Drosophila melanogaster: one gene and its partners. The protein of the gene in region 1 interacts with the protein of each later gene in a pairwise test. Each region holds a gene or a part of one and is shown in the gene's direction. Other genes may lie near its edges. The genes, in order: CG34205, CG43894, Sod3 and CG15422.

What was found.
Region 2: the proteins of CG34205 (region 1) and CG43894 interact in a two-hybrid assay, tested with the Drosophila melanogaster proteins (one large-scale study listed by BioGRID).
Region 3: the proteins of CG34205 (region 1) and Sod3 interact in a two-hybrid assay, tested with the Drosophila melanogaster proteins (one large-scale study listed by BioGRID).
Region 4: the proteins of CG34205 (region 1) and CG15422 interact in a two-hybrid assay, tested with the Drosophila melanogaster proteins (one large-scale study listed by BioGRID).

The regions. Positions count from the first base shown.
Region 1 is NT_033778.4:22,127,372-22,134,559, reverse strand, and holds CG34205 (uncharacterized protein), read left to right. Parts: upstream 1-3,260; 5' UTR 3,261-3,349; coding exon 3,350-3,427; intron 3,428-3,592; coding exon 3,593-3,916; intron 3,917-3,979; coding exon 3,980-4,231; 3' UTR 4,232-4,446; downstream 4,447-7,188. Other genes in the region: NtR, read right to left, coding at 4,447-4,569, 4,630-4,796, 4,869-5,009, 5,075-5,606, 5,679-5,866, 5,935-6,087, 6,147-6,278, 6,384-6,705.
Region 2 is NT_037436.4:12,885,677-12,892,894, forward strand, and holds CG43894 (uncharacterized protein), read left to right. Parts: upstream 1-4,093; 5' UTR 4,094-4,547; coding exon 4,548-4,608; intron 4,609-4,666; coding exon 4,667-4,795; intron 4,796-4,863; coding exon 4,864-5,381; 3' UTR 5,382-5,429; downstream 5,430-7,218. Other genes in the region: CG14120 (uncharacterized protein), read left to right, coding at 1-3,491; CG14118 (uncharacterized protein), read left to right, coding at 7,037-7,184.
Region 3 is NT_033778.4:11,378,521-11,388,108, reverse strand, and holds Sod3 (superoxide dismutase 3), read left to right. Parts: upstream 1-3,994; 5' UTR 3,995-4,094; intron 4,095-5,033; exon of another isoform or gene 5,034-5,177; intron 5,178-5,791; 5' UTR 5,792-5,797; coding exon 5,798-5,860; intron 5,861-5,926; coding exon 5,927-6,154; intron 6,155-6,217; coding exon 6,218-6,446; intron 6,447-6,514; coding exon 6,515-6,536; coding exon of another isoform or gene 6,537-6,540; exon of another isoform or gene 6,541-7,080; coding exon 7,081-7,270; 3' UTR 7,271-7,315; coding exon of another isoform or gene 7,316-7,427; 3' UTR 7,428-7,660; downstream 7,661-9,588. Other genes in the region: CG30022 (uncharacterized protein), read left to right, coding at 1-109, 201-564, 619-737, 794-849; sprt (sprite), read left to right, coding at 1,043-1,446, 1,513-2,553, 2,667-3,048; Tsp47F (tetraspanin 47F), read left to right, coding at 9,082-9,144. UniProt on the Drosophila melanogaster protein: Protects the extracellular space from the toxic effects of reactive oxygen intermediates by converting superoxide radicals into hydrogen peroxide and oxygen.
Region 4 is NT_033779.5:4,001,135-4,007,683, forward strand, and holds CG15422 (uncharacterized protein), read left to right. Parts: upstream 1-3,849; 5' UTR 3,850-3,921; coding exon 3,922-4,236; 3' UTR 4,237-4,536; downstream 4,537-6,549. Other genes in the region: CG34176 (uncharacterized protein), read left to right, coding at 2,997-3,248; CG15423 (uncharacterized protein), read left to right, coding at 4,979-5,302.

The DNA.
Region 1 (7,188 bases):
TCAGCGAAGTCCAATCCATCCATCCCACAAACATACATAGGTATTCCACCCACTTGCTCACCTGTTGAATTTCAAGGGGAGCATTTAACCCCTTTAAATCGCCGACACCCCAATGCTGTGGTTCGTGCATTGCTCATACGTCATTAACTTCAGTGACTTTGATCTATATTTATTTGAGTCTCTGGGTCTTTTTCTATGGAAACGTAGCGAAGGGCAATCGATTGAAGAAAAAAGAGTTGTATTGAATGATAAACTTGAATTGCTCATTCAATAGGATTCCATTCCATGTCGATGTTGAATGTTTTATATACATTTTTTAAAAAGGTTATATATACTACTATAAATCTAGCCAACAATATTATATTTTTTTTTGCAAATGTTAACTTATATTTCAAAACAAAGTTTGTAATACAAGTAAATTACATAAAACATAAAATATACATGACAGCTATCTACGTCCGCTGTCCTAAGCTACGCCATCTGTTGGTCATGAAAATTGAGCAGAACATCTGTTAGATGGCGCCACTAAGCCAAGCTTATCTTTAAGCTAAGACAGCGAAAAAGCTAGTTTTAAATTTAAGCTTACATCAAACCCGTTTCACCTTAGCGCAAACATTAAGAGCATTTTAAATTTAAATATTTTGTATTTTATTAAATATTATTTATTAATCACGCCATTTAACATACACAAATATCCATAGACAGGATCGTTATAGCCCGTTTTCCTCTATTTAATCAGCCCACTTTATCTGGACCATTACCATGGCAATAATCATTTCACAACCGACCGCCTCGACGCAGTCATCCCATAAATACACCACTTACCACCAATTCCTGTTGACGAAAAACAAACAAGAAGGCGACAAAATGGCCAGCAGTCTATGGAGTAGAAACAGTCATTGATTTGCAGTCAGTTGGGATTGCTAAATGCAAAATGGACTCGGAATACACAAAGAAAAAAATTAATTCATTTACAAGACCTCCAAATATGTATATATATATCATCACATGGAATTTTTCTGCTAGCTTAAAATATTATCCAAATTGTAATCGATTTTTAAGGGAATCATACATTTGAAAACAAATTCATCAAAGTTGGTGCGGTGCATTTCAAAAACTTCCAGTCACGTCAGCAGCGAGGCTCTAAGTTTGTCAGCTCCCAAAAGCTGAACTCCAAATCCATTTCCATGTCCACCACGATTCATTCATTAATTCAGGCAAAGCGTCATAAATGCCACGCGGTTTTTATTTGGTTTTTCAGGCTGGTTGATTTCGTCGTTTGTTTTTGATTTAATTAAGCGGCGCTTTTCCATTTTGCAATGTTTTTCTTGGCCGTTCCGCGAAGCATTTGCAAGTCAAATGCAGCGGCGTTAATTAATTGAATGGATCGAAAAATAACGCATACGCAGCGTGCGCCGCGAAGAATTCTGCGCTTGCGATCCATTGGGCAATCGCTTTGAATTCTCTCATCCATTCTGTGGCCAGTGGCTAATTAGGCCCGTCATCCAAAATTCGCGGCATTTTGCACCCATTTTGGAGCACACGCCGCCCGATCGCCAAATCCAAATGCGGCTAAAGACTCGCCTCTCGATCGAAGCCATAAAAACCAAGACGAGGATCGATCGGCTGATCGCCTTAAATCGTCATTTAGTATGTGGCAATTTGGCATTCGAGTTTGCCACCCTTCTGATCCACCGACCGATTGCTGGAAAATTGCTTTCCACCTGGCCAAAATGTGGGGCAGTGGCTGGGAAATCTTTTATTTATGAGGACCGGCGACACACCGACCACAACACACAACACCGATCTGTCCGCATCTGTCCGGATCGAATTGGACATGGAACACTTGTTTGGCAGTCGCCGACCACTGGCAACAATTGCTCCTATTGACTTAATATTTGCTAATAGAATTCACATAAATCACATTCCACTGGCATGCATGATTTATGCATGAACTGCGATCGCAGGTGACTCTCTGTCTCTTTTGCGGCGTTTCGTGCTGTCCTTTTCTCATTGTGCTAAGTTTTTTTTCGAGTTTTTTTTACGAGATTTCGGCGTTGAAGTGGTGTTTTCGAGACCTCTTGAGAGGAACTCCACTGAAGTGCTGCAAGTTGCATGCGCTAATCTGAGACATTATGTGCTTTCCAAACTTTAGTTTCTTAACCCTAATATATAAAGCAAGTATTTAAACACGGACTACCTTATTGTCTCAAAAAGTTATGTAAAGTCCACAAAAATATAAATCATTTAAGAAATGAATATATACACCATATCTATACTTAAAGCGAATAAGTGATATAATGATTACTTGAGACACTATTAATCCGTGATAAGGATCACGACGAGCATTCTCAACAATTTGTAGCATTATTAATTTTGTGATGACCCAATGTCACACCTCCGTACCCCCGCACATCCCGTGGGGTTAATCAAGTCGGCCATAAAAAATCCCACGAACTGCCAGATGCTGAACCGGCAATTTCAGCCGGCAAAGTCGATGGATCGATGGCGAGTTGAAGCTGGAGCTGGAGCTGGCGAACTGGGGCCTCCACTCGATCCAAACCCCCTCGCCACGCACGAGTGTCCTCGAGACGAGACGGCGTGGCTGCGGCTGAAATCACCCATCCAATATGGTCAAATGTGGCACGCAGCGGCATTCGAGGCACGATAAAGATAAATATGAAGCTCGCCTAGATATTTCGGCCAGAGGGGATTGCTGCTTGGTGTTTGGTTTTGGCGTTTGCCGATTTGGCAAGCGTTCATTATGCAATTTGGAGAGAATTTCCCAGCGCCACGCCGAGAATTGTTTCGAGAATACTCAAACATAGCAACGAAAACAATTAGACGGCATTCTACGTTGGCTAATTAAGTTGTTAGTGGCAAGGCTGCGTGCTTTCGAGGGGCGTGTCACCTGGCGCGTTGCCCAAATTGGCCAGCTAATCAGCGATTTCAATTAGCGTGCGCTTTCCAAATGCGAGCCACAATGGCACCCCCAGTGTAAAGACCGCCTTTCCTGCGGCGACTCCTTAGCCGGCAAGTGGTCTGCCTTCGGTTCGGAGCTCCCAACTCCCAGCTCCAGTTCAGGTTGCGTCATCCGCGTTTGGGGGCTCTCCAATCCGAGCTGCGTCTACGAGAATTGCAGTTTCACTGCAGCCGAGATACTTCACAAATTGGTGCTGCTTGGCCCGCTTTGTTGACTGCTGTCTGCTGACTGTTTGTCCGTCCGAGGCTCAGATCGAAATCTAGTCAAGATCTGTCCGCTCGACCACCTGTCCTCCGGTCCGCAGTTCGCAGTCCGCTCGAGAGTGCGAGTGCGTGGTCTGCCGTCGAGGGGTATAAAAGTAACGCAATGCACACGTCCACTTACAGTTGCAATTCTCCCTCCAAGCCAAGTGATTCGTTATCCAGCGCTAGCATGAAACTTCTGGTGAGTGGAAAGGGTTGGAAAGGATGCGGCCTAGGATCAGTATTATCACTTTAAGCCAATAATACTGACTGCAAAGGATATCTTCATACAAGGATTACCTCGATCTTATATTCACTAGATCAAAAAGATTAACATCAAAGTTTGGTTTTCCATTTACCTCGCCAGATCCTTACCTCTCTGCTGGCTGTGGCCACTGCTGCTCCTGGACTCCTTGATTATGGACACTCGGCTCCGGACTACAGCTACGCCCATGCCGCTCCTGCCATAACATATGCAGCTGCAGCTCCAGTCATCAAGTCCTACGCTGCCCCAGCCATCACCTATGCGGCTCCAGCTCCGGTGATCAAGTCCTATGCCGCTCCAGCCATCAGCTACGCCCATGCCGCTCCTGCCATCAGCTACGCCGCTCCCACGGTGGTCAAGTCCTATGCTGCTCCTGTGGCGGTCAAGGTGGCAGCTCCAGCCACCAGCTACTCGCACTTCAGCTCGGTAAGATCTGGATATACTCTGATATTTTCCCATTTAATCTTACAATCTACTTTGCATGCACAGGTTGTTTCCCATGCCACGCCCATTGTTAAGTCGTACGCTGCGCCTGCCATCGCCTATGCTGCTCCAGCTCCGGTGATCAAGTCCTATGCCGCTCCAGCCATCAGTTACGCCCATGCCGCTCCAGCCATCAGCTACGCTGCTCCCACGGTGGTCAAGTCATATGCGGCTCCAGCCATCAGCTACGCAGCTCCTGCCCTGGTTAAGTCATACGCTGCACCTGCCCTGTCCCTGGGTGGATACGGTTACCACTAAGCTCCGATACCAAAACACTCCAAATCCAAATCGATCCCGGATCGGAGTTGGAACAATGGCAGCAATTAACTGCGAGGAGTCGCAACAGCCCAGCACGCTCTCCCACTTTTTCAACTTGTAGTCGCAAAATCTTCACAATCTTCTCTGTTTACTTCTTATTTATTTAAGAACCATTAATATTCTCTCAAATGCACAATAAAGAAAAATTCTGTTTTTCAAAACCCACTCGTAATATCTACGATGGCAAAGGTTATAATGACCAAGATTGAACTCAGGTTGTTCAGGATCTTGGCCATATGGTGCCAGGGATTCTCCTGAATGTCGCAATAGTCGGTAGACTGTAGGAATATAGTGAATTGCAATACGTATATGTGTTCAATAGGGGCTTAACTACTCACATCCGAAAATCTCAATCCCAGAATGCATCGCAGAACATTGGAGTTAATCACCCTAACCAGCCAGCCAGGAGCCTTCGATCTGGGTGGATATAGATCCAGCCATATAATGCAGATGTGCAGAATGTAGCAATAGGTGGTGGTCATCATGATGACTTTATATGCAGTCACTGTAGGAAAAGTGAAAATTTGAATTTGAAAATTATACACAGTGAGTTTTAGTTAATTGATTTAAAACTTACTCATGGGCGGCACATAATGCGGAGAGGCGTAGCGCGTCATGTACATTAAACCCCAGGCGGCAATCAGCAAGGCGATGAGAATGAGGGAACTCCTACGAGTAGAACGCAGTACAAAGGACAAAATCAGGAACATCTGGCAGGCTGAAAGAATATATTGTAGTTATATGTTATTCCATAACAAGAAATCAAACACATTTTCATATTACCAATCAACGGCAAATAGAAGACGGTCATGTAGAAGCTCCGATTCCTTTGCAGCGTGAACTCAATTGCCACATCGCCGGTCATTTTCTGCATCATTCCCTTGGGGTTGTATCGCCTTTGCGAATCGTTCTCCACCAGCACCACGGACATTTGCGTGAACGACCAGCCGGATGGCGTGTTCACGTGCTCATTGGGCGCAATCGGCTTGCGCTGATCATCGTAGATTAGCGCCACATTCTCCTGCCCCTCCTGGCCATTGAGACCCAGCTCGATGTCGCAAGTCACTCGCTCGCTTGGCCAGTTTCGGGCACTGTCCACACACCAACTGGCCAGCTGGAGGTTTTGAGCGTACAGGGTGATGCTTCCGTTGGCGTAGACCATCAGCTCATAGGATTGGAGGACCTGACCCATGGATTGCAGGGCGCCGTTGAGGACGTTCATATGCGGCTTCCATATACGAAGGTCAGGATGTTCGAAAGATTCCAGCGAGCCGAAGTCCTCGGGTTTCCAGACAAGACGACTATCCCTCCAGTGCTGCATGGATAGGCGAATGTATCTTTACTGTTTCACACTAAATATTTGCATTTCGAGCTTATCTTTCATTACCATCATCATGTGCATGCGGGTCTGAAGCAAGGAACTGGTTTGCTCGTAGGCGAGGGAGCGCGTTTGGAAGTGGAACGATATGGAGCTGAGATTAGCCGGCATGCTTGCATTTTCCGCCTGGATATTCAGATGGCTTAGCAGTTTTTCCGTCTTCGTTTCCTCCTTCACTATCGGTGCAATTTCCGACCCTGAAATGGGTCAGTTTTAGAACATACTTACAGATATAGACTTATAGCTTACTATATATCATCCTTACCATAACCATCGAAGCCACAGTCGTAAAACCACCGCGCCGTATTGGAACCAAAGGAGCTGAAACTCAGATAGTTGATGACCAGCGGTGCTTCATCGATGAACTGCAGCAGGGGCTCCTTCTTGAAGCCGGGTATGTAAACAAACAGCTCGCCATCTGGAAATATACTGTGCGTTGGAGGGGCAGGGAATACCCGATAAGATGGGGGAACTCACTCTGGTTTTGGACAATCTCAATTGGCGTCGGGTCGTACAGCGATACCAAGTTCGGCTCTTGATTCGTGGCCACCCGCCTCATTCCCATAGCATTCCGGATTGCGGAAAACGTATTTCCGCCGGCTCCTATCACTGCAAGCGGAATAAAGATATCAATTGAATATTTAGGTAGGGTTCCACTAGAAAGAGCTCATTGAAATGCTGGAATTAAAACTGAATATTATTGATTTCACCCACCGATCTCGTAAACGCGATCATTTGGGCGCGGGTGATTCGTCACCGAGAGCAGGATGTGCGCATCCATGGCGGTCAGGACGTAGAATTTCAAGTGCAGCCGCTCTCCGGCCTTCCTGTTGTTGTTGCTCAGCTCGCGCAGCATGTAGAACCTCCGGTAGCCATAGCCCGTATTCGGAACGGAGTAGGTTTCGCAGGAATCCAGCTGGGCGAAGCTCACGTTGAATCTCGTTGACAGTTGTCCCGATTCCGCTGGGTCAATCAATATCAGTAGCAGGCACAGGCAGCAGTATGTTGCCAAGGAGCCCTTGATAAGGTTGTACATCGTATCGACCTGGACTTCTACTCCTCACAGCGGCTTAACTACGACTGAATTAGGAAGCCGACTTAAGTGAAGTGATAAGAAACGATGAACTAATGGTTGTTTCGATAAATAATACTGTTTTTTTTTTTTAATTTGAAGAGTATTTCTCAAAACCTCCTCGCATGAACGTTTATGCAAGTAGAGTGAAATTTCTTAATTGTACATAATCTCTGTTTATTGAAAACGGATACGCATATATACGTGTTCGATTTTAAAAATGAAAAAAAAGCTAAAAATGCGCGCCAATATATAACTGTGCTTTCCCTGCCGCCTAGTGTACCCGTTCGCGCGGCATTTTGGCTCTAAACGCGTACGGTCATACTGAACTTCAGACCTGTTATCAACATTCAGAAATTTCCACTTTTGCCTAGCTTAATTTACATTTGTTGGCTCGCCTTCCGAACCGAGCTTACTCCAGGTGTGGCAAAGGTACCGCTGCTGACC
Region 2 (7,218 bases), on another chromosome or scaffold:
GAAGGGATGTGAATACCAAGTACACGCAAGTACAGCAGAACATCACAATCAGTAACATACTCGGTCTGGATGCGTCACCCTACTTCAACTTTAGCGATGACCGCATCCTGTCTCGGGGACATATGATCGCCAAAACGGATCAGATCTTCGGGGCGGCTCAGCACACGACATTCCTGTTCATCAATGTGGCGCCTCAATGGCAGACCTTCAACGGGGGCAACTGGGAGAAAGTGGAGACTAGTGTTCGAAAATTCGTGGCAGATCGTAATCTAACCACTGATTGCTATACAGGCACTTGGGGTGTTTCAACCCTTCCCGATGTGGATGGCATTGAGAGGGAGCTATATCTGGACTTCGATGAGAACAACAATGGCCTGATCCCAGTGCCCAAGATTTATTTCCGTGTGGTCATCGATCGGGTGACTCGCGAAGGCATTGTGCTAATAGGCATTAATAATCCCTATCTAACACTGGAGCAAATCCAAAAGGACTACATACTGTGCCAGGATATTGGCCATCAGCTAAGCTGGCTAACTTGGTACAAAGAAGATCTGCACGAGGGTTATTCCTATGCTTGCTCTGTCGAGGATTTCATTGAAGTGGTTAAGGACTTGCCGCTGGAGGACCTGCACACAAATGGTATCCTTGGATTGGACGACGTGACCACTGTTGAGCCTTCGACAACCGAAAGTTCCACAACTACTGAAGAGCCGAGCTCAACTACAAGCACCGAAATTCCATCAACCACTGATACTACACCTAGTTCCACTAGCGTTTCTTCTACCACCGAAGAGCCAAGCTCATCTACCGCTTCACCCACCACTGAACTACCAACCTCCACAGTTATATCCACCACTGAACCACCAACCTCCACAGTTACATCCACCACTAAACCACCAACCTCCACAGTTGCATCCACCACTGAGCAACCCACTTCCACAGTTACATCCACCACTGAACCACCCACCTCCACAGTTACACCCACCACTGAACCACCTACCTCCACAGTTACATCCACAACAGAACCAAGCTCGTCTACCACTCTGGAACCTACTTCAACTACATCTTCCTCTACCACTTCACAACCAACTTTATCAACCGAAGAATCAACTTCAACATCTCCAACGTCTACCTCTACTTCAAGTCCTCCGGTGACTACTGCCAATCCCATTGCCAATCCCTGTAGGTTTAGTACAAATGGTGATCTCAAGGATCCTGCTCCACTACTAACACCGCAAGGAGCTCTCAGCTGGCTGCTGCCCGATGAAAGTGGGCTTTACACCGTGGAAGAAGGATCCTCCATTGATCTGCACTGCACTGGAGCTCTGGTATCACCATTTAATAGGTATACAGCTCTGAGCGCTCGTTGTGTTGGTGATCAATTGTACGAGGCCGAAGGACAGCTGGTCAATATTCGAGGATTCGTCTGCCAGAGTTGGCCCACATATGCGGCAGTCCGATCGGGACAATCTTGCGCTGGTGGTACGGATGTGGTGCACATCGGCTTCGATGTGGCTGCCGGTTTTCTTAGCCATGTTGAGCTCTGCTACGATCAGCAGGAGCAGATCTCCAGATACGCTCGCTATGAACTGACTCCGGCCAATGTGGCCTACCAAAAGGGTGTTGCTCAACCGGGCTATCTTCGAGGTGACTTCTATAGCGGCGAAGATGTCAATGTTCTATATGACCAATCACACCAGCTGGATGCATTTAGTACGGCCCTGGGATTAGATGCCAGTCAGTACTTTGACAGCACTAAGGATCTCTATTTGACCAGAGGACAGCTGGCAGCTCGTCTTGATTTCGTCCATAGTTCCGCCCAGAGAGCCACCCACTTTTATGTGAACGCAGTTCCTCAATGGAGAAGCATCAATATTGGAAATTGGCTTGCAGTGGAATCCAGTTTGAAGCAATTTGTGGCGGATGAGGCACTTAATGTGAGTGTACATGCCGGCAGCTATGATATCTCAACTCTACCCAATTCACAAGGTGTCCAGACACCTCTGTATCTGAATGCCGAGACCAAACAACTGCCAGTAGCTAAGATCCTCTATCGCATTGTTATCGATCAGGAAAGTCGCAAGGGAGTAGTTCTAATTGTGGTCAACAATCCACATATAACATTGACGGAGACCCTCGAGGATTATGTGATCTGTGAGGATGTGGGAGCGCAAATCGATTGGTTGGACTGGGACAAAGCAAACCTGCAGAAGGGCTACTCCTATGCGTGCTCTGTAGAAGATTTCATCGAAGTGGTTAAGGATTTGCCCACAGATCAACTGCAAACAACAGGAATTCTTGGTTTGACTGATCAAATCTTGGACAATGAAGTGTGCAGCTTTAAAGTGAACGGTGATCTTAAGGATCCGGCTCCTTTATTTGTAGTCAGGAGTGAATTGGGTCATGCGAGATATTTGGAACCGAATCAAGAAGGAGTAGTTCAGCTAAAACATGGAGAAGCCCTTGAGTTCCACTGCATCAATTCTTTCAGTGGACCCTTCTCTGGTTATACCTTCGTCAATTCAACATGCTGGCAACAGCAGAGCATCCTGGCAATGGGCAGTTTGTATCAGCTGCAGGACTTTGTCTGCACTTCCTGGCCAACATACACTGCTCGTCGCTCTGGTCGTCCCTGCAATGGTGGTACTGATCTGCTTGAAGTGGGCTTTCAGCTGTCATCCTCCTCGAGCGACGACTTCCTGCAGACCTATGACGTGTGTCACGATGAACTGAGCGAAGTCACCCGCTATGTGCATCATGTTTTGTACCCCGGAAGTGACCAATATCAGCGATCTGTATCCAGGCCATCCTTTATACCCGGCGACTTTTACGGAGGCAAGGATGTGAACACTTTGTACACCCAAGTTCAACAGAATATCACGGTTTCCGAGATTTTGGGCATGGATGCCTCACCATACTTCAACACCACTGGTAATGTCTATCTGGCTCGGGGTCACCTTTCTGCAAAGACCGACTTTGTCTTTGGGGCCGCTCAAAAGGCGAGCTTCTTCTTTGTGAATGCGGCACCTCAGTGGCAGACCTTTAATGGCGGAAACTGGGAACGAATCGAGGACAGTGTGAGAAAGTTTGTGGCGGATGAAAACATCACAGTGGATTGCTATACGGGCACATGGGGTGTGTCCACCCTGCCGGATGTAAATGGCATTGGAAGGGAGCTCTATTTGGACTTTGATGAAAACAACAATGGTCTGATTCCAGTGCCAAAGTTGTACTTCCGCGTGATTATCGATCGCGAGAGCAGAAATGGCATCGTGCTACTTGGAGTTAACAACCCACATGCCACCATTGAGCAAATCGAAGAGGAGTACATCATCTGCCAGGATATTGGCGCCCAACTGAGTTGGGTCAGTTGGACCAAAGAGGACCTAAAGAAGGGCTATTCATATGCCTGTACTGTGGAGGACTTTACTGCAGTGGTGAAAGACCTACCTTTACAAGACCTGTTTGTCGATGGAGTCCTGGGTGTTTAATATCAGATTTTGTGGGTGTGCAATTTCCAAAAAAAAAAACGAATTTCTTAATTTAAAACCAATAAAAAGACTATCTTAAAGAAAACAGGTTTTTATTGAAGGGTAGCCCTTAGGAAAATGCTTAAAGGCACGTTTAAATTAAGTTCTCATGGGCCATAAAACAGTGAAATCACGTTTAGCTTTTGTTCTCTTTGGAGTTTATTGCATGTTGGACATATTGATAAGAGTAAGGTTATCAAATGCTTGACGTTATCGTTTATGGCCGGGGTAGAGCTATTTATTTACCCAGCCATTGGATTATTTGCTCACGTGCCGCACGTTTCCAAAAGCCTTAATTTTTTCTGCTGTTCCAGTAGCCCAAGAGGCAGTCCCTTGGCCCGAATCGAAGTCCCAATGGCAGTGACTTTCACATTTTCTTATCGAAGCTAAGGAAATACCTTGTATTACTTGTGCGGTTCCCTTTGTTTATCTTATCGCAACACAATCGTCGCAGAACGTATGAAGTATACGCCTGCTTGGTTAATAATTATAATGGACTTTTTAGGGGGTAAACAAAAGGCAAAAACCGTAAATGAAGCAGATAGAAACCAAAATTGATTTATATTGGTCGAGTAATCATTCACTTAGAATTGTTGCGGATTCAACAATGCGGTTAAACTTCGTTTTAATTAATCAGTAATATCTATCAAGGCTGAAAGTGTGTGTTATTTTGTTAAGCAATGTTTATTTACCCCTGTTCAAGGCGTAGTTCAGAGACCGTTTAATAGATAGTTCTATTCGGCTAACCTACTGCTGAAATATTTAGGCAGTAACTTATTAATCGTGTAAGTTTTAATGTACTGCATTTAAACAGCCATACAAAAATATTCAATTAGCGCTGTTTAATGAACTTTTATTTATGTTAGAAAGAGTCAGAACAATAATCATCATATTTCGGTGATTTAATTTTGCAAATAATCATTACCGCAACTCATCAACCATGAAATATCAAAATGATATAAATATGAGGGATTTAGGGAAATGAATTTAGTTAGTTTCGGAATTTTACAAGAGAAAATGGAACTTGTTGGTATATATTTGATATTAGCCACGACGATTGTTGTCCAAGGATACAGAAGTAAGTCAGCGAACAGGATAAGGGATAAAATCTAAAAAATTCCCCACTATCAATACAGAATTTGGACTTAGTTGTGAGGATATTGCCTGTATATCTGGTAAAAAATGCATTGTATCCAGAGTTCCCTGCGAAAACCCAAATCAGCAAGAAGGAGAACAATGTGGAACCTATCCGGAGTGCCAATCAGGTTCGTAAAATTTTGTTTTTTCATCGGTTCACACTGAAATCTGGTCCTTTTCAACTGATCCGTTTCAGATCAGCTGGCCAGCGATTTCATCATCGACACTACACAGACCACTGCCAACACCCGAAACAGCATCATCATACCCAGCACTTCCACGAGTCGCAATCGGAATAATAGGAACAGTGACTTTAAACTGCTGAGCGATTTCAGTAACTCCGATACATTTGCCACCCATGCAGGCCAACGGCAGGCTAATGTTTTGGTTATTGTTCAAGATGGTTCCCAGCAACCTCAACAGCCAAATCCTTGGCTAAATCGAGGACAAAGTCCTCCCTGTACCATCAGTCCGCTCTACCCATATTCCTGTACTTATCCCCGTTATCCGAATTCGGGAGCAGGATTGCCTTCTTATACGCAGCAGCGATCGGCCAATGGGCCACAATTAGTTCCTCCCACTCCACCATGCTACTATAACTGCTATCCCAGTGTGCGGTCAAGTTCATATGGTCAATATGGATACCCCCTGTCTAGATCAGCCAATCCCTCATCAACCAATAACTATTTAATCTACCTCACATTAGCTGGCTAAAAGACCAGGAGCTTTAGTTATGTGCAAATAATAAATATAGAATCTATTATCAACCTTTTTTTTTCGTTTCTATATCTTCGCCAGTTTTGCACCGTTTCCGGCGAACGCCACAAATGCCTTATCAGCCTGTGGGGATGCCAGCTTCAATGCCACCCGGGTATCCACCACCTCGCCCACCGTTTCAAATGCAGCAGCCGCGTCAAGTTGCACCACAATATGTGATTCCACCTCAGCCCAACCCACAGTACGCAATTCAATACCAGGCCAACCGGCAATATGCCATGCAAGGACAACCCAATTCGGCCAATCCTTGGCTCCACTTCTCAGTAGGGATGTCCTATCCAACGTATATGAACTATAATGGACGTTCCGCTGGGAACTCACTTCCATCATTTTACAATCCGTACCCACCCAGTTATAGTACCTATAATTACAATATTAACTTACCCTTTTCGGGTGGATCTTCCTAAGATCTTCGATACTGGTTAAAAAAAATTCAAAGCTACTCAGCACCGGATGGACTCCTTCCGAACATTATTTCATTACTTTCAAATTTGTCGTTCCTAAAATTAATAGCTAATACATATATTTGTCAGCTTCTCTGGGGGAAACGATGACGGATTCCGAAATGGATTCTGATGCAACACTACCACAATTTCACAATCGATCGGCACGTCAGATTCCAATGCGTCCCATGCCAGGACCAATGCCAATGCCAGGAGCGCTGCCGTATCCTGGTCCTGTTTCAATGAATGTACCATCTCCGGGGCGTGCGTATTATCCCTCGTATATGGGACAACCTTATATGGGACAACCGTACATGCCAGGTGCCATGCCCATGATGCCAATGATGCCCCAGGGAGGTGGAACTATGGGTGGTACCAGCATAATTGTGGAGCCCTTAATAATCCTGCCAATGGGCATTGGGGCAGGCACGGGTACGGGCGTGAATCCAAATTCATATTATGGATCGAATGGAGCTTATCCCACGTATAACAATTACAATCCCTACAATACGTACACTACTGCACGACCCAGCTACGACTATAACAATTATAACAACAACAATAATAACAATAACAACGATTACAACTCATATGGTTAGATTTCAATTAAATGATCCCCGAAATCTACATGATCATTATTCATTTACAAATGAATCGAAAGCTGTCCAGGTATGAATATATTGTGTACATACATTGTTTGCCAGGTCATTTAACAATAGATTATTTTCGATTATTAAATAAGAAAAATGTCAAATATAATTGACGATTAATCTTGAATAAAATTATTGAGATACATCATTCGCGAGATAAATCACTTTTTGTTTTAGCTCTGTAAAGAAAGGGGATCGACAAAAGCAAAGAACTTAATGCGACCTAGACCTAAATACACATACATATGTATAAAGGTATATAGATAGAAAGAACTCGGAAGTACTCAAAAAATGCAAACAATCCAATGGTATTATATCTTTATTCTCAGAGAGATTACAAGACAAAGAAGCAAAACGAAAGAGAGAGCGAGAGAGAGAGAGAGATGTAAGATACAAGAGCACGAACTGAGAATATAAATAAAAACACCTGTTCACCAAACAAATAATTCAGTCGGCGGTTAGATAGCAACTTAACCGGTCGAGTTGAGTTTCCAACAAAATGATGCTTCAGTTTATCGGCCTAATTTTGGCGGTCGTGATTCTGCGAGAGATTCGGGCACGTGAGGCGATCGCAACCATTCCAGATGTGGGTCAGATAATCAAAGATCTCGATGGACTGCACATCGATGGAGAAATGTTTCATCAAGGTATGTGGTCGCCTAAAAGTTAATAACCATACGT
Region 3 (9,588 bases), about 11 Mb from region 1:
CTGGCCGATCTAAAGAATGGTCAGGCCGTAATCATTGATCCTGTTTTGGAGCAGGCGAAACGAGATGCCCAGCTGGTCAAGGATCTGGGCTTCGAGTTGAAGTATGCCAGTAAGTTAGAGAGAGATCTCTATCTATGTATGGATAGATCATTGGATGATAATTTCATCATGACACTACAATATTTCCCCATTCCCCCAAGTCAACACACACATGCATGCGGATCACATAACGGGCAGTGGCTGGTTGAGGAAGTTAACTGGGTGTCAATCTGTGATTGCTGCCGCCAGTGGAGCCAAGGCGGATCGTCACCTGAATGAAGGGGATCGCATAGATTTCGGCACCCATGTGATTGATGCTCTGGCCACTCCGGGACACACAAATGGCTGCATGACCTATGTGATCAAGGATCAGGGTTGTGTCTTTACCGGAGATACTCTCCTGATACGAGGCTGTGGACGCACCGATTTCCAGGAAGGCTGCCCACGTAATCTCTACGAGAATGTGCACAGTAAGATCTTCACACTCCCGGAAAACTTTCGCATATATCCGGCGCACGACTATAAGTGAGTGGGATCTGGAATGCTATGTGATATCAATCTAATGGCGGTCATTTCCAGAGGTCAAATGGAAAGCAGTGTGTGGGAGGAGAAGCGGTATAACCCCAGACTGACTAAGGATATTGAAGAGTTTGTCAAAATCATGGAAAACCTAAATTTACCATATCCCAAGAAAATAGGTGGGGATGTGAACATATTACTATATGCGTCTTTTACTAAGTTTAATATCTTTTAGATGCCTCGCTGCCCGCCAATCGAGAGTGCGGGGTGTACGATATACCCAAGGAATAATTCCAACCCCTGCAAACACTATATACGCAGCTTATATAATAATGTTTCAAAGAGACTTGTAATCTTTTAAATAAATAATCATAATAATCTTATCACGATCAAGTTATGACAGCCTCATTTTACTCCCTGACTTCTGTGCTTAATAAGATAAACTTAAAAAACTCACTTCTTTGTTCGCCTTCTTTTGTTGCAGACCATTCTCAATCCGAAGGGTTGTGGCAGTGCCGTCAAGTACAGTCTGCACTCGACTGCAGAGACGAACCAGGAGACTGCCAGTACCACGACCACCTCTACCCATTGTTCCACAACTGGAAGAAGGCGCAAGGGTGGCTCCCTGGGCGGTACTCTCTCCTCGCGATCGACGCGCAGCGAATCCAAGGAATTGCGATCGGCTCTTCAGGATCGGGAGGCTGTCATCCAGAATCTGCGTATACAGCTTTGTCTGGGCAAACTGCCACGTCCCACGGGACCACCGCTGGATGAGTCCGAGAAGCCGGCGGCTGAGCAAAAACTAAACAGACTGAAGACGGAGGCGGAGAATAAGCGAATTAAGATCAAGAACCTGAAGAGTGCCCTGGAGAAGCTGGACATCACAGAGTGAGTAGAATGTTTTAATACTATTTAGCTTGAAGATATTTAATACTTACTTTATTTTATCCACAGCAACATAGACATCCGCATCCGTCAAGCCGAATTGGAATACGCACTCGGCAGAGAAGAACTCCAGATGCTCTCGATTGTGGAGGAGGCTCGCGCCTTGCAGGCACGTCTGGAAAAGTCCAAGCCCGAGGCGCAGACCCTCTACAACATCATCAGCTCTGGAGTCTCCCTGAGTCTGCACGCCGTGCATGCCACCTCGGGAAGATGGGCAGTTCAACAGAGGACAGACCAGCCGGGTTTCTACGTAGAATGGGCTTTAGAGGGTGATGGCTTGTACAAGGGCGATCGCATTTTGGAGATCAACGGACGACTGGTAACCGGAAAATCCAAGGAAGAGCTGCAGAAGCAAGTAGGAAACTCTGGCAAGTGTCAGATGGTTGTACTCCGCAAGAAGTCCGTACCTATACCACAAAAGCAACTAGACCAGGAGAAGGAGAACAACATGAGGCTGCAGCATCGCATATCGTACCTGGAAGAGCAGGTGCGAGAACTGCAGACAGTCAAGGAGCATCATCCATCGCAACAGCAGCAGCAGCAGCAGCAGCAACAGCAAAATCCACAGCAAAATCCACAGCAAAATCCACAGCAGACATCCTCCAATCAATCTCAGCATGTGACCAGCATCAGCATATCATCACCTCCATCAACACCGCCCGAGAAACCGTTGATCTTTCAGCGGGGCAACTATATTACCACTTTGGTGGGGGGCAAACCCATCGAGCTGATGGGTGACGACATGGCCTCGACACAAACCCCTCCCGGACATGTAACCAAAACACTGATCAAGGAGAATACCCACATCGATTTGAGAGATCGTCTGTCGCACATGTACTCCATGCCCTCCAAATCGCTGTCCGCCTCGAAGATCTCGATTAATAGCGATTCTGCCTATATGCAGCACCATCGACGTGATAAGGAGCGCCATCGCGATCGCCAGCACCGGGAACGCCCCAGAGATCCTCTCCAGCAACAGCAGCAACTGCATCGCGAACATCTCATGAGCACGCACGCACGCAGTGTAGAGCACCTGAATCATTACAATGGGTAGGTTATTCGCGATTCTTCGAGATTCTTGTGTAGATGTTCTAGCAAAGACAGGCTTTTTCATAGATTTAAATTTTCCTGACTAATCTCCCCGATCTTCTTCGCCATTCCAGACTGGATCGTCGCCGAGACACGCCCCGACAAAGTGAGTCGAACACACTTCGAGCCCGCCTGCCCAGCGATATGAGGAGTGTAAAATCCCTGGATTTCGATAGCGAAAACGAATCGAAGCCTGCGACTGAGACGCGTACCACTAGACCCACTCCGCCCAAGAAACCCCTCCGGCTATCGCTGCAACGAGCCCAAAGTCTGCAGACCGTGGAGCTGCACCCCTGTGCGGATATCGAACGAAAGCGGCCCATGAAGAGGGTCCACCACAACAACAACAACAACAACAAAGGTGGAGAATCACCGACTGGAGAGGGCCAGACCATGCTCATCGAGAACTGCAGTCCCATGCACACGGCTTCCCTCGGCAGGCACAAGCTCATCTAGAAACCCGATCCCAATCCAACCAAAACTAATTGTTAATCGAAGTAGCTTAATCCTCGACCGATCCTAACCGGCGGTTAAACCCAAAAAACAGGCGGACATGTGCAAAATTACAGTAGGCAATATAATTTTAACCAGCTCCCAAGTGGAAAGTTTCTTATTATGTAGTAGCAGTAGTATGTACTTACATTCTATATCTTGTATAAGTAGGGCTTGGCTATCAACATTTAGTATTGAGAGAATCAATAATTAAGAGTTTTTGTATGTACGATGATTTTATTAGCACAATTTACAAATGTGAATACACGAATATTTTCACCTACTTAAATGCGTTATTTATTTAAAAAATTCGATCCCGGCCTGCTATAAATGTGATGTAACTACAATTTCATGGCATCGGTTGGCATATCAGAAGCTATTACCTGGCAACTCATTTTCAAAGAATTTGTAGCAGTAGTTCTTCAAATTGCTTCGCCGTATCTGGAAAGCATGCCAATATTTACGACCTCCATTGTAGGCACGAGCCTGGCACATATTTTATGACGCCACAGTGATAAGGTATTCAAATGAAAAGCACGTTAGCGTGTTTCAGCTGCGCTTTTAGTAAGTTCAAAGAATTACTTAATAGCTATAATTTGGATATAATTAAAAAAAAGGCCGTTAATAGGATAATAAATATATCATCAGAGCTGGACAAAAGAATCTGATCAATCTGCAGTTGATAAAAAAAACTCAACGAGGGAGATAGAGCGATAGAGCGGTGAAGTAAGCCCGAGATAAACCTGAGAGCGGAACTCTCGCCTACGCGATCGTGCTGACCGCCAAATGCAATATCCGCCGCTCCACCTGGTGGCGCTCTCAATTCTCAATTCTGCGGTCTTCTTGCTCTCGCCAAATCTGCCCCAATGTTCTCTCAGCGAGTCGATTTGCGATGGCAATGCCAGAGGCTCGAAACAGTTCCGTCGCAGGTTTCCAACGGTACAGAGGTGCAATCGCTTAATTCTCGCAAAAAACAATCAGTACCCAATTATAAAATAGTTGCTAACAAGGTGAGTTTGCAACGGACGCGAAAAAAAAGAAGATCAAGGGCTAGTAATCGAGAATATTGGGTGAAGGTTAAGCTGAAGTTGAAGTTACTTGAGTTAATTGTAATTGTTAATTGTTCATAATTTATTGGTTTGCTTACATTTTAGAACCTGATTTAGATATATTACCCACAATTGCGTGTTACCAAAAAGAAACCAGTTACCGCAAAAACGGAGTTTACTTCACTGATTTTTGATTCTCTCATTCACTGTCCGCTCACCCTTGAGTGGGTTAAGGTAACCAGTTATTAATCCAGAAAAATGAGTGGGCAAAAATGCAGCACAGACCAGACACAAAATATTGTACATATCCATTACAATCCACACATTCCACGGCTTAAAACTTCAATAAACATTTAAATTCCCAATCGTGAACAGTTGGTTGAACAAGTGTTTACGATATTCTATCTTTTCATATATGTAAAATTATGGCTTGTTCTTATCTCAAAACTGCATAGCTTCGGCGTTTAAATTAGACGCGAAGTCTCTGTGTGTGAAATCAAGTAATCTTGGCTGTATTGTTTGCAAATTCACGAAGAGAGCCCTGCGATCAAATTGTTCAGATAAGCATCTTCATTAGCATATCGTTTCACGGTAAAACTCAAACTGAGTTATTATTTTCAAATCAATCATATTTAATCAGCAAGCAAGAGCCCTAATAAACCTTATTTGATGGACAAGCAGTGGCTATTAGTTGCAATTTGTGACCCATTTCGTGACAGTTTGAACCAGAATAAGTAAATACCTGGCAAAAAACAGATTAAAATACTTATACGTAATGACAATGGCATTTTTAGTTCCGAAATTCAGTCGCTCTACGAGCGTGAGAATCGTAAATTATGGGACCGATTCCAAGTGCAGATAAGGATACGTGTGTAGAGCAGGTACTGACCGCGTTTGAAGATCGTTTCAGAACTCGAGCGTGCAAGATCGCCAGCATATCGCAGACACATTGATAAGACCGTAAGGAAACCGGACCCATAAACAAATATTGCCCCGATAAAGTGTGACACCCATCCATTTCATTTGTGGAACTTTGGAAGCGAAGTGCGTACGAAAAAGAGATTGTTGATTGACCTTCCCGCAGCCGCACTTAACCCTGTGAAAAAGGCTGTTTGCATTTAGTTTCGTTTGGGTATCGCTCATTATTCACACACATAAATAATAATACCCGTTCGCACATCATATATGACCCACAAATCGTTTCATAAATTGAGGCTAGGCGCTTCAATTCCGCACACAACTGTCCGTTTAAATGGAATCAAGAGAATGTACACCTGATGACGTCCAAGCCAGAGATGAGCTGGAATTCAAGTGCCAGAGATGAGTTGGCATCACGGAATTTGAGATTACAAGACATAAACCCTCCTAGCATTTCCCAAAACTGAAAGTATTTGGTTCCAAATCATTTAAAGCTTTACTATAAAGCATTATATAAATAGTTTTGGAAGATGTTTTTAATATTGAGTCCATATCAATTATCGAAATTTCAGGATTATCATTTAGTTCATTTTTAGCTATGTCCAGTAGATCATCCCTGGTGGGATTTTCTCTGCTTGTGCCACTCAATTTAAAATTATTTATTTATAGACATTTAAACATTTCTAACATTTGCTATCCGAGTCGTACACGTGTCTAATTTAACTATGATTTCCTTGCAGTTCAAAATGATGCAATATCTTGTTGTTAGCCTGGCACTCTGTGCCACAATTTGCTCTGCTGCGCAGACGGTAAGATATATAATCTCGTTAATTTGAAAATCCACTTATAATTAGGACACTGAACTTACTTTGCAGCGCAATATGCCCATTCAAGCCATTGCCTATCTGATTGGACCCGTGCAATCGGATAATACCCAGGTCAAGGGCAACGTGACCTTTACGCAGAACGACTGTGGCCAGAATGTCCATGTGCGCGTCCAGCTGGAGGGATTGAAGGAGGGCAAGCACGGCTTCCACATTCACGAGAAGGGAGATCTGACCAATGGATGCATCAGCATGGGTGCTCACTATAACCCCGATAAGGTAGATGCGGGATTCTTTATAGGATTAGGTGTCTAAATCACTAATATAACTTTTATGTCTCAGGTTGATCACGGTGGCCCCGATCACGAGGTGCGTCATGTTGGCGATCTGGGCAACCTGGAGGCCAACTCCACGGGCATTATCGACGTTACATACACGGATCAGGTGATCACCTTAACTGGCAAGCTGGGGATCATTGGCAGGGGAGTTGTTGTCCACGAATTGGAGGATGATCTCGGTCTGGGCAACCACACGGATTCCAAGAAGACCGGCAATGCAGGCGGCCGCATTGGTAAGTAGTCAGTGTAAAATAATAAAATAATAATAATAATAAAATATTTGTTTTAAACCTTCTTTCAGCCTGTGGTGTTATTGGCATCAAGTAAATATCCCTTCCAACGTGTCAGCCAAATCAATATGCTGCTCGAATACTTTATGTGTAGTTGTGTAACTCCAGGCGTAGTAACTAATGAAATGTTTTCCCAATTTTCCCAATTCCCCCACCCACAATCACACTCACCCTTACATGTTTGGCTTACACATTTCCCTCAATTAATTGTCTCAGTTCACTGACTCACTCGATTTGCCGTGTGTGTGTTTGTGTGTAATAAAATCAACAAAAATTAACCGAAATCTAAGCTAAACATTAGCATACTCTGTACCACTTGTGTTCTACCACCTCATATTCATGGCCTAAACAAACTTTCGCGCTTTGCTGGGGTTGCTTTTCCGAGTGGGTAGGTATGACAGAGAGCCTTTTTACCTATCATTTTTACTAACATCATTAGCATTAGTCGGTCGGTCGGTCGGTCGGTCGGTCGGTCGGCGAAGAGAAGGGGATATTGGAATAACAACTGCCGCTGGAATCGGAACTTTACTGATCCAACCAGGGTTCAATCAAAAAACTCACATTGTATGTTTTCCAGTGGCCCATCTGTACCTGCACCTGCACCACCAACACCACGCCATCAGCCACTGTACTATGTGCCCCATGGGGAGCCACAAGATCATGTTGTCTATCCACTCCAGCACTATCCTTTGCCATACCCACACCCATATCCATATCCGCACCCATACCCCTATCCGTATCCGTTGTCGCACCAATTGTATCTGTGAGATCGCGAGACTACACCGTTCGCCTGTTCCACCTTCTAATTGCAGCTCGGATGTGGACGAGTGGCCATGTCGCGATGGTGGCGCCGGCGCCCTGCGCTACTCCTTCTCCATCCTGACCGTCATCGTGGCCCTCATCATGGCCCGCAGCCTTGACTAATCCGAAACATGCACCCGGATCGGATCGAATGCACGCATGTGGCATGGGATTGTTGGCCATCGTAGTGATCTGCATACCTACTTACACACTAACCACACAACCATGAGTCGCACACCACTACCAACAGTAATTATAATACTCCAGCATTATCCACCCAAATAGAGAAATCAAAGGAACTAACTAAGCTACTTGTAAAGTGTTTGAATTGATCGATAATAAAGTTTGTTATTTGTATTTCGGGTGCTTGCAATTTGTACGTGCTTAGATAGTAACAAAAGTTGCTGAAAATGAACGACAGATAAGGGTTAGCTCTAATTTTATAAAAAAGATTAGACAAAGTGTTTCCAATGGACTGTTAGAATTGCACATAAATCACAGTAGTAGTAAGTTATCAAGAGAATTAAATATAACTTCAATTTTGTATGTTGATTTCTAAGGACAAATAGCTGTTTGTTCCCTAAAATAGGTTACCAAATAAATGAACACTCAAAAAGTTGGTAGGAAAACTATATATAGAACTTCGACGTCACCAAAGCTTTTCCTACCCATACACCTTTATGTGGCTGCGAATGGGTCATATAACATTTAGTTGCCTTTGATTTGCTGAATTCCAGCTTAGAGCCACAATTTGCTTTAAATTGCGGAAGCCTTCAGAAAATATTTGTGCTCCAATCATTCAGAGAACTCCAATTCCCAGGGATTTTGATTCCAAGCCGCCGCAACTAATGGTCAAGCAACAGTTTTTGCTTTTATTTTTTCTAGATTTCTTCGACCAGATAGGCTCAGCCAGAGAATGGGTCAAACAGTGGGATTCTAGAAAACCTAGGGCCATAATTCCCGACACGCAACACTAACATCATCCGAAAGACTGTGGCATACTTCTGGGCGTCTTTAATTATTTCGCACAGTCCTCAGAGAAAGAGAAAGCATTTACAACTTTCTTTGCCGCGCACGAAAGCACGCAATTAATTTCGCCTTGGGCCCGGTCGAGTTCCAAGTGCTAAGTGCCGAACTTTAAAGGGAAACACATAGACGTGGGCGCACAGCTAAATTTTTATGGTAATAAGTGCAATGACCCACCCGGAATCCAGCTGGAGATGGCGAATGGAGCCGTGAGTGAGGCAAGTGAGGTAAGCCCCGGGCGACCCACAAAACGCAACCAATCGCCTCGCCTCGCCTCGCTGCTTTGGTCAAAGTTCTTTGGTATCGAATGCTAAATCAACAGTGAAATAAGCCAGCACGGAGTTCCAGCCCCTATAGTCCATATAGTCCGTCATAGGCCCATGCCCGATCCCTATTCCGATTCCAGCCTAATCATGCCTGGCCTAAATTCGAATCGGGCCTCCAAGACTTTCACTCGCTTTCGCTTTTGTTCCGCCGCTACCCATTGCTAGCCGTACCCCAACCGCAATCCGGATCCGTTGCCACCACCAACCCGGCAAGTGGCAAGTGGCCACAACAGAACCGGGCCCTTCTAAAGCCCAGCCGGACCGTCGCTCCGGTCAGTTCGCGGTTAAACTCCAGTGCGGTCAGTCGATTTGGGCCATCGCTCTGGATCACTAAGTCATATCACGCACCAAAGCGATTCTGTATTTGAATTGATCTAAAGTTGAAATAACTTGAATTAGTGCTTCGCCCCAAAAGGAATCTCAAAATGCGTTCTTGCGGTCCGAGTTTAATTAAATATGTCTTATTCGCATTTAATGTGCTGTTTGCGGTAAGTGCAAGTGATATGATATATGAGTAAAATATCTAAAGGATACTGAGAATATTATGCTAAATACAATACATTGCATCATACTGCAAATCACTTTGTTTCTAACAAATCATATGCCAATCAAATTGACTTATTGATATTAATTTCAAAAAAGAATCATAAAATTTTATGAAATGACATAACTATTTTCTGGGAATTTTCGAGGTGCAAACTGTTACTGCAATTATGAAAACGGATTGAACCGTCCAAACGTAACATTCTACCAGATTTATTTTTGCTCGTAATTAGTTCTAATTCGCCATAAGCACTATAATTACGCTTGTGCTTGGAGTCTTGTTCGCCTGCCTCATTTAGATAAGTATCGCTGGAAAATGGCACTCTCACTCACGGAAAATCGGATAATCGGATAATGTTCAAACGCGATGGCCTGTAACGACATGCGAG
Region 4 (6,549 bases), on another chromosome or scaffold:
TACCCAATTTTTGGATGTGCCAGTAAATGGAAAAGTGAAAAATCGTTTATGAATTTCGTGGGCTTTTGTTTTGATTGCGACAATACGTGAGAAGCAATTATACGGCGGCACATGAAAGTGAGATCCGGAAATTGGCTTGAGTTTATGTACATGTATACGCATAAGAAGACCTTGGTTTTCCTGGAGTTCTGGGCGTGCAAACCGCAGGCATTAAAGGGACAACTTTGTGCTCCCTTCAACTTTTGCCTCATTTTTGTTTCTTTCGCTGGTTAATTTTTGCGCCTCGCGAAAAGAAACAAATTTTCATGCAAATGGAAATGGAAAATGCAAATTAACAAGTTCCTTAATGGCCTTGTGGGCGTAAGGGGGAGTGGCGGTTGCTGGTGTACACCTATGGCTGTAAAACTGTGAGCTGATTTCAATTAAAAGTTGAGAGGAACGCAAGCGTCAGTGCTTCTAAAACTATTGTGCATAAGAAACCGTTTTAATTTACAATATAGAGTTCAAAAATGTAAAAATATGTAAATTCTTTTTTTAATAATATTTTTAAAAATATTTAAATTATTGAATATGCTAAGCACATTGCCTAATTGTAAAAATATTCGACAACATTTTCGTAGTTACGCTGCAAGATTTCAAGAGTTTAGCAAAACTGTCAAGTCATCCCTCACCTCTGGCAGCATTTTGCCTTTCCGTCTTCAGTTTTACAACTCTATCAATCATCAACTTGCAGCGAGTGCCTGAAAACGGTAGCTCAATAAAATGTTCTTGAAAATGTTCGAAAAACATCTCAGCCCAACCCCGAAAACACTTTTCAGATACGAGTATTGCCATGACATGTCGACAAAAGCAATGATTCCTTTTGGGTAACCCATTTCTGCACCAACCGATTTTCCAACTTTCCCGATTTTCTTGCCAACTCTTGCTGCGTTACGCGATTTCCCAGCCACACTTGCATGTCATGACATGAGCAGGAAATGCGTTTTCTGACGCCGCTGCTAAAGAAGCCTCGTAAAGGTGGTATGCACTGAAGAAAAATGCATACAATCAATTTTTTCATAAATCCTTTATACACATTTCAACGTACATGTTGTTATTCTGTATAAAACCGATATTTTTTTTTTCAAAATTTTAAATCCCTTTAAAAATAATAATTACAATAATTTGGACTTTTGTGCGAAGCTGAATTTTGCAAATACTTTCATTTGATTTCTCTCAGTAAACGGGTTGCGAAATTTCGGATAGCTGCTTTTCCTGGTTTCTTGGTTAGGCTTACGGTTACGGTTTTTTGGCTATGCCGTGTGCCTGGTTCCGTTTCTTGTGCACCAAGCGGAGCGCCATAAATATTTAAATTGTGCGACGCCGCCGCCACCGCTTAAAACCACCAGAACCACCATCCCCCCAACCACATCCCCATCCATTTGCAACACCCCTTTTGCCACGCCCCCTTATGCGCCTGTCTTGCATGTTGCTTGCCGGCTTATTTTTTGACAGTTATCGATTCGAGGGCGCTGCCTCAGTTTCAGCTGCAGATTCAGATCCAGATTCAACTCCCGATTCCAAGCCCCAATTTTCTGATTTTGATTCTTCACTCGGGGACAGAGACATTTTATCTTGCCAGGACTCAATTCATTTCCTAAAATATGCACAAGGAGTTAAAAAATACATGTGGAAAAAGCGGAGGCTTCAAAGATGACGCACTTAATACACTTTTTCGAGTAAATTCGCTTGAGAAATTTTCTTTTTCTTCAGAGGTCTTGAAAATTTACATTATTTTTTATCCCCAAAGTGAATTGGCTACGTTTAAACTATCGTTTTTGCTATGGACAGTGATTTCATTACAGCCAGTTGGGATTTCCTTTTAATGGCTATAATAACTAAAGTGAGTGACTGTCATGCGGCCTGCCACGCCCCACCAACGCAGCGCGCCCACAAAAGCTCAGTCGATATGTTGCGCGTTATGCGGCACTCATTTCCTTCCTTCTTTTGCGTCAGTTGAAAACTTTGCCCGAAACTCGTTTGCCACTTTGTGCATGTTTAACTTTTTAGGGCAAGCACCCTTAACCCTTAAGCCGTAACCCTTAACCCCAGTTCCTTGATCGAAGTGACAATTCAAAGAGCGAATGAAATGCGAAATGCAGCACGAACCACTCAATTAAGTACAGCCAAAAAGGCTGCCGCTCTCCTGGTTGTCAAATCGAATATTCCGAATTTTATTTGATCAAGTGATTGAGATTCAGAGAGTCCCGAGAGACTTTTCTTGATTGACCGTCAGAAATTACCATGTTTTTCTATCCATACATTTAATATTTACCCACGTCGCCCCTCGAGGCAAAATCGTGTCTGCAAACTTTGCATAATAGACGTGCAAATGTTTGCCAAATATTTGCCGGCTAAGGAAAATGTGTAAAGAATTATTGGGAATTTTTCGGGGCTGAAAATTGGATAAATATTTGTGGCTTGACAACATTTTCTCAAGCTAAAGTTTGTTTTCACTAGAGTTAAGGAATTTAATCGCATTTAACCAAATACAAATATTTGCACGTTGGTTCATTTCCTTTCTTCGTGACAACGAAATACTTTATTTCTTTTTAAAACTTTAAACAAGTATTTACATGACTATATGTAAGTTAAGGAGAAATCCCCGGAAAAAACCAAACATGACTCATTAAAGAAACGAGGAAAATCTATTGATATGCAGGCTCAAATTTGAATTGAAAAGCTTATTCGAAAAAAGCTTTACCATTTGCCAATTTTCAGTTTATTTATCGATAACTTTGCTCTAGAAGCAATACTTTCGTCAATAGAAATAATTAAGAGTACCTACCTACCTATTCGCTATCAGCAAATGCTGATATTGAGCTTTTTTATGACGGCAAATATTTTGGCGTTTGTTTGGTTAGTCAGTCCCATGAGTTGGGCATTCGCTTAATTCAGTTACCAGCGATAAGTCGACACATTTGGACGGACTTTCTACAGAAGATTAGTGCACCACTATGCCACCACCACCCCACGATCATTGCGGCGGACCGCCTCATCGTCGTGGACCCGTGATTAAGGTACAGATTGCACCACCATGGCCACGCCGCCATCACCGCCCACCACCCCAAGTTGTGGTGGTGCAGCAGCAGGCTCCGCCACCGCCACCAGTCATGGTGGTGCAACAGGCGCCTCCGCCACCGTACTACCAAAATCCACCACCACCACCACCGCCCGGCAGCAGCCACTACCACAATCCACAGTATTGAGAAGGAACTTTGATCTGTAAAATCCTTCACAATGAATTTATACCACGTAGCCTTACTTAACAACTATATGTCCTCAATAAAGTATAACCTTATAAACTAAGTTTTAGTTTATAGTTTTTAGTTTTTTTGCATATTTGTCATGAGTAATGGTTGAGTTTCAATCGAGTTGATTCCATCACACACACTCCCTCTTTTTATTATCAAAATCTCTAATCCGTGTTTTTTTTTTTTAAGTCTTTATCGGAACACCTGGTTAATTTAGACGGCAATCACTTGTTGTTTTGTTAATGTCTAGCAAAACTTTAATTCATTTTCACCAATGCTCTGTCAATGCTTCTATGCTCCTATATCAGAAATAATAACGCGTTACCCATAGATAAGCCGGAATCAGTTAATATAGTAAACAAAATGCGAGTAAAATAGCGAAACCCGATCACCTGTAAATGCACAACTGTCCGGTCGCTGTTATCAGACCTTGTCGAATGACTAAGCCATCTTATCTTTGCCTCTAACCACTGGAATAATTCCCACAAACCCTGATTGATGGAGCTTCGCAGTTCCAGTTTGTTTCGAGCTAGACGTGTTGTGCCACGGACTTTCCAGTATTCAACGCGTTGCTGGGTGGTGAAGTTGGTTCGGTTGGCTGGTTGATTATTTGGCTAGTTAATCAACTATGCGGTACTATGAAGATCCATGTGGCTATCCTCCTCGCCATCACCATGGTCGTCCAAATATCGAAATTGATGTGGTTCCCGGTTGGGGTGGCGGCTACTATCCGCCGCCGCCTCCGCCTCGGCCCGCCGAGGTAGTCTACATGACCCCGGCGGCTACCTATGTGCCCGGCACACAGGTGATAATGCCGCAACCCTACGGCGGCGTCACGGTGGCCACCACCAATGGATACTATCCGCAGCAGCAGCAGCAGGCGTACGAGTATCAGTACCAGTATCAGCAGCCCTACAACAATCCACCGTATCCGCAGTGGTGAACGAGGTCGGAATGGAAACGAAGCCATCACCACTAACAAAAAAAAAATATACTATCGATGGAGTGAAGGAAGGGATAGATAACAAGAAATCAAAACAAATATCACTTTGTCCTAATCTTAAGTTGAAATGACAACGCAAATGGTGCAATGGTCTTGACATTACGCACCACAAAGTTAACAAGTTAATAACCAGAGGAAGGTACAAAAAAACAAAACTGGAATTTAACTTTAACCGTTTCAAAGAAAATATAATTGTGCTATATAACCTTAAAACGAAATAAATAAAATATCTTGCTCTTCAAAAAACCTACCCGTCTTTAATTCTAAAAATATTCTAAATACTGCATTATCGATTTTATTTATGTTTATGTAATTTAGTGTGAGTCATCAATCAGAAGCATGGAATTAAGTCCTTCCTCTTAAATATAAAATTGTGATTCATGGAAACCTTGAACTCTCCTCATGAAATTCAATTCGGAATTTCGTATTTATCAAATGGCACTTATCAATTTTATTTTTTTTTTATCGAAAAAAACACATTTATTCCACCTGACAAGATAACCAACTAAGCTACTGTGCAAAACGCACATAACAAAATTAGGAAAAAAAATTCCCCCTCATTAGCGATAAAAATTGACTTAAATAGTTAAGCAGGCGAAGAAGCAAGTTCAGTTCGAGAAAGCAGTCAAAGGCATTCACTTCACCCACTAAGGATACAATACTTGGATAGTTTCTGAAGAAAATGCCGTACTACGAGGAGGAACGTCGTCATCACCATCATCACCATCACGGTGGAAGGCCAATTGTAGAGGTGGACATTGTGCCGCCAAGGATTCCTCGACCAGTGATTGAGATCGGAGTGGGCGGCCGGTATCCACCACCACCGCCCAGGGTGGAGGTCATCACACCAGCTGCCGTCTACCAGCCGCCACCACCACGACCCATTATCGAGGTGGATGTGGTGCCACCAAGAGCTCCCTTCATCGAGTTCAACATCGGCGGTCGGCGTCCACCTCCCAGGGAAGAGGTCATCATCGTTCAGCAGCCCCCACCGCCCAGGTGGTAGGCGTGGTCTCCATATGACCGTCGTTCAACAACGAAGTAAAAAACTTTAAAAATATTTATTAAACTTCATGTATTTCTGCAAATAGAAACTATAAACTAACTTTTTACAAAACCTAAGCTCTTGTATAATAAAAATAAAAAATAAATAAACAGTTCACTCCTTCATGTTTGAATTTCGTGTTTATACTACTATATACTATAGTATACTATATATTACGCACATATTTCTTCATGTAAGCTGACATTTTAATTTGCCTCAATCTTATTGCCAATGCAATTGTAAATCCGCTCGAAATATTTGCTTAAATAACTTAAATGCACTTTACCTTAATTGAAATATACTTGATTGGTTTTCAATGTCGGTTCTTGCTGTGACACATTTTCATATTGCGAATATATATGCCTGCATTTATTTGCAATGTTAATGGTACAAATATGAAAATTGAACTGCAGGCGAACGACATAAACAATGGTCATGGTCATGATTCCTTTTCCACTCTCTATTTTCCGTACGGGTAATTGCTTTCGTGGATTTTTTGTGGTTTTTGTATATATTATTTGGCTTCGGTTTTGCTATCTGACTGGTGGGAAATGATTGATGTCCTCTGGTCGTAGCCAGCTTATCAATTATTGTACAACTAGTGCTGTCAGTACATAAACATATTTTAAGCTTTATTATAACGAAAACTGGGCAATAGTTTTCTCAATTTAAATGGCGTAATAAATATAAAAGATCTTGCTGGACTCAAAGTAAAATTTGAATTATGATTTTATATGAAAAGTTATACCATTCTTGCCGTATTTAAATAAGAATTGCATATCCAACTATGGCTTAAAATGTATATGTATACAAATGAAAAATATTTTTCATGATAAGAGTTCGGGAATTGATATCTAAAAAAGAATTAATTACTCATGAAGAGAAGAGTCAAGATAATTATTTTTGGATTCTTAAACTATCGAGAATAGCAAGTAAAAATGTATCCTAAAAAACCACTTAAGAAGAGGTCTATGATGAGTCACTCTAGAATGAAAAGTTCAACATCCCTAGAACATATGAGTCACAGAAAATCGAGGGATTGAGAGATTGAATCACAACTGCTGCAGCAGAATTACGAGTTTGATCCATCACTGTTGTGATAAGCGAGTCCTCAATTTTTCTTATCGCATTCAAACTGGCTGTATAAAAAGGTTATAAGTTAAAGTTAAAAGCCAAATTGAAGTGCAGTCGAGCAGAGACAACTTAGA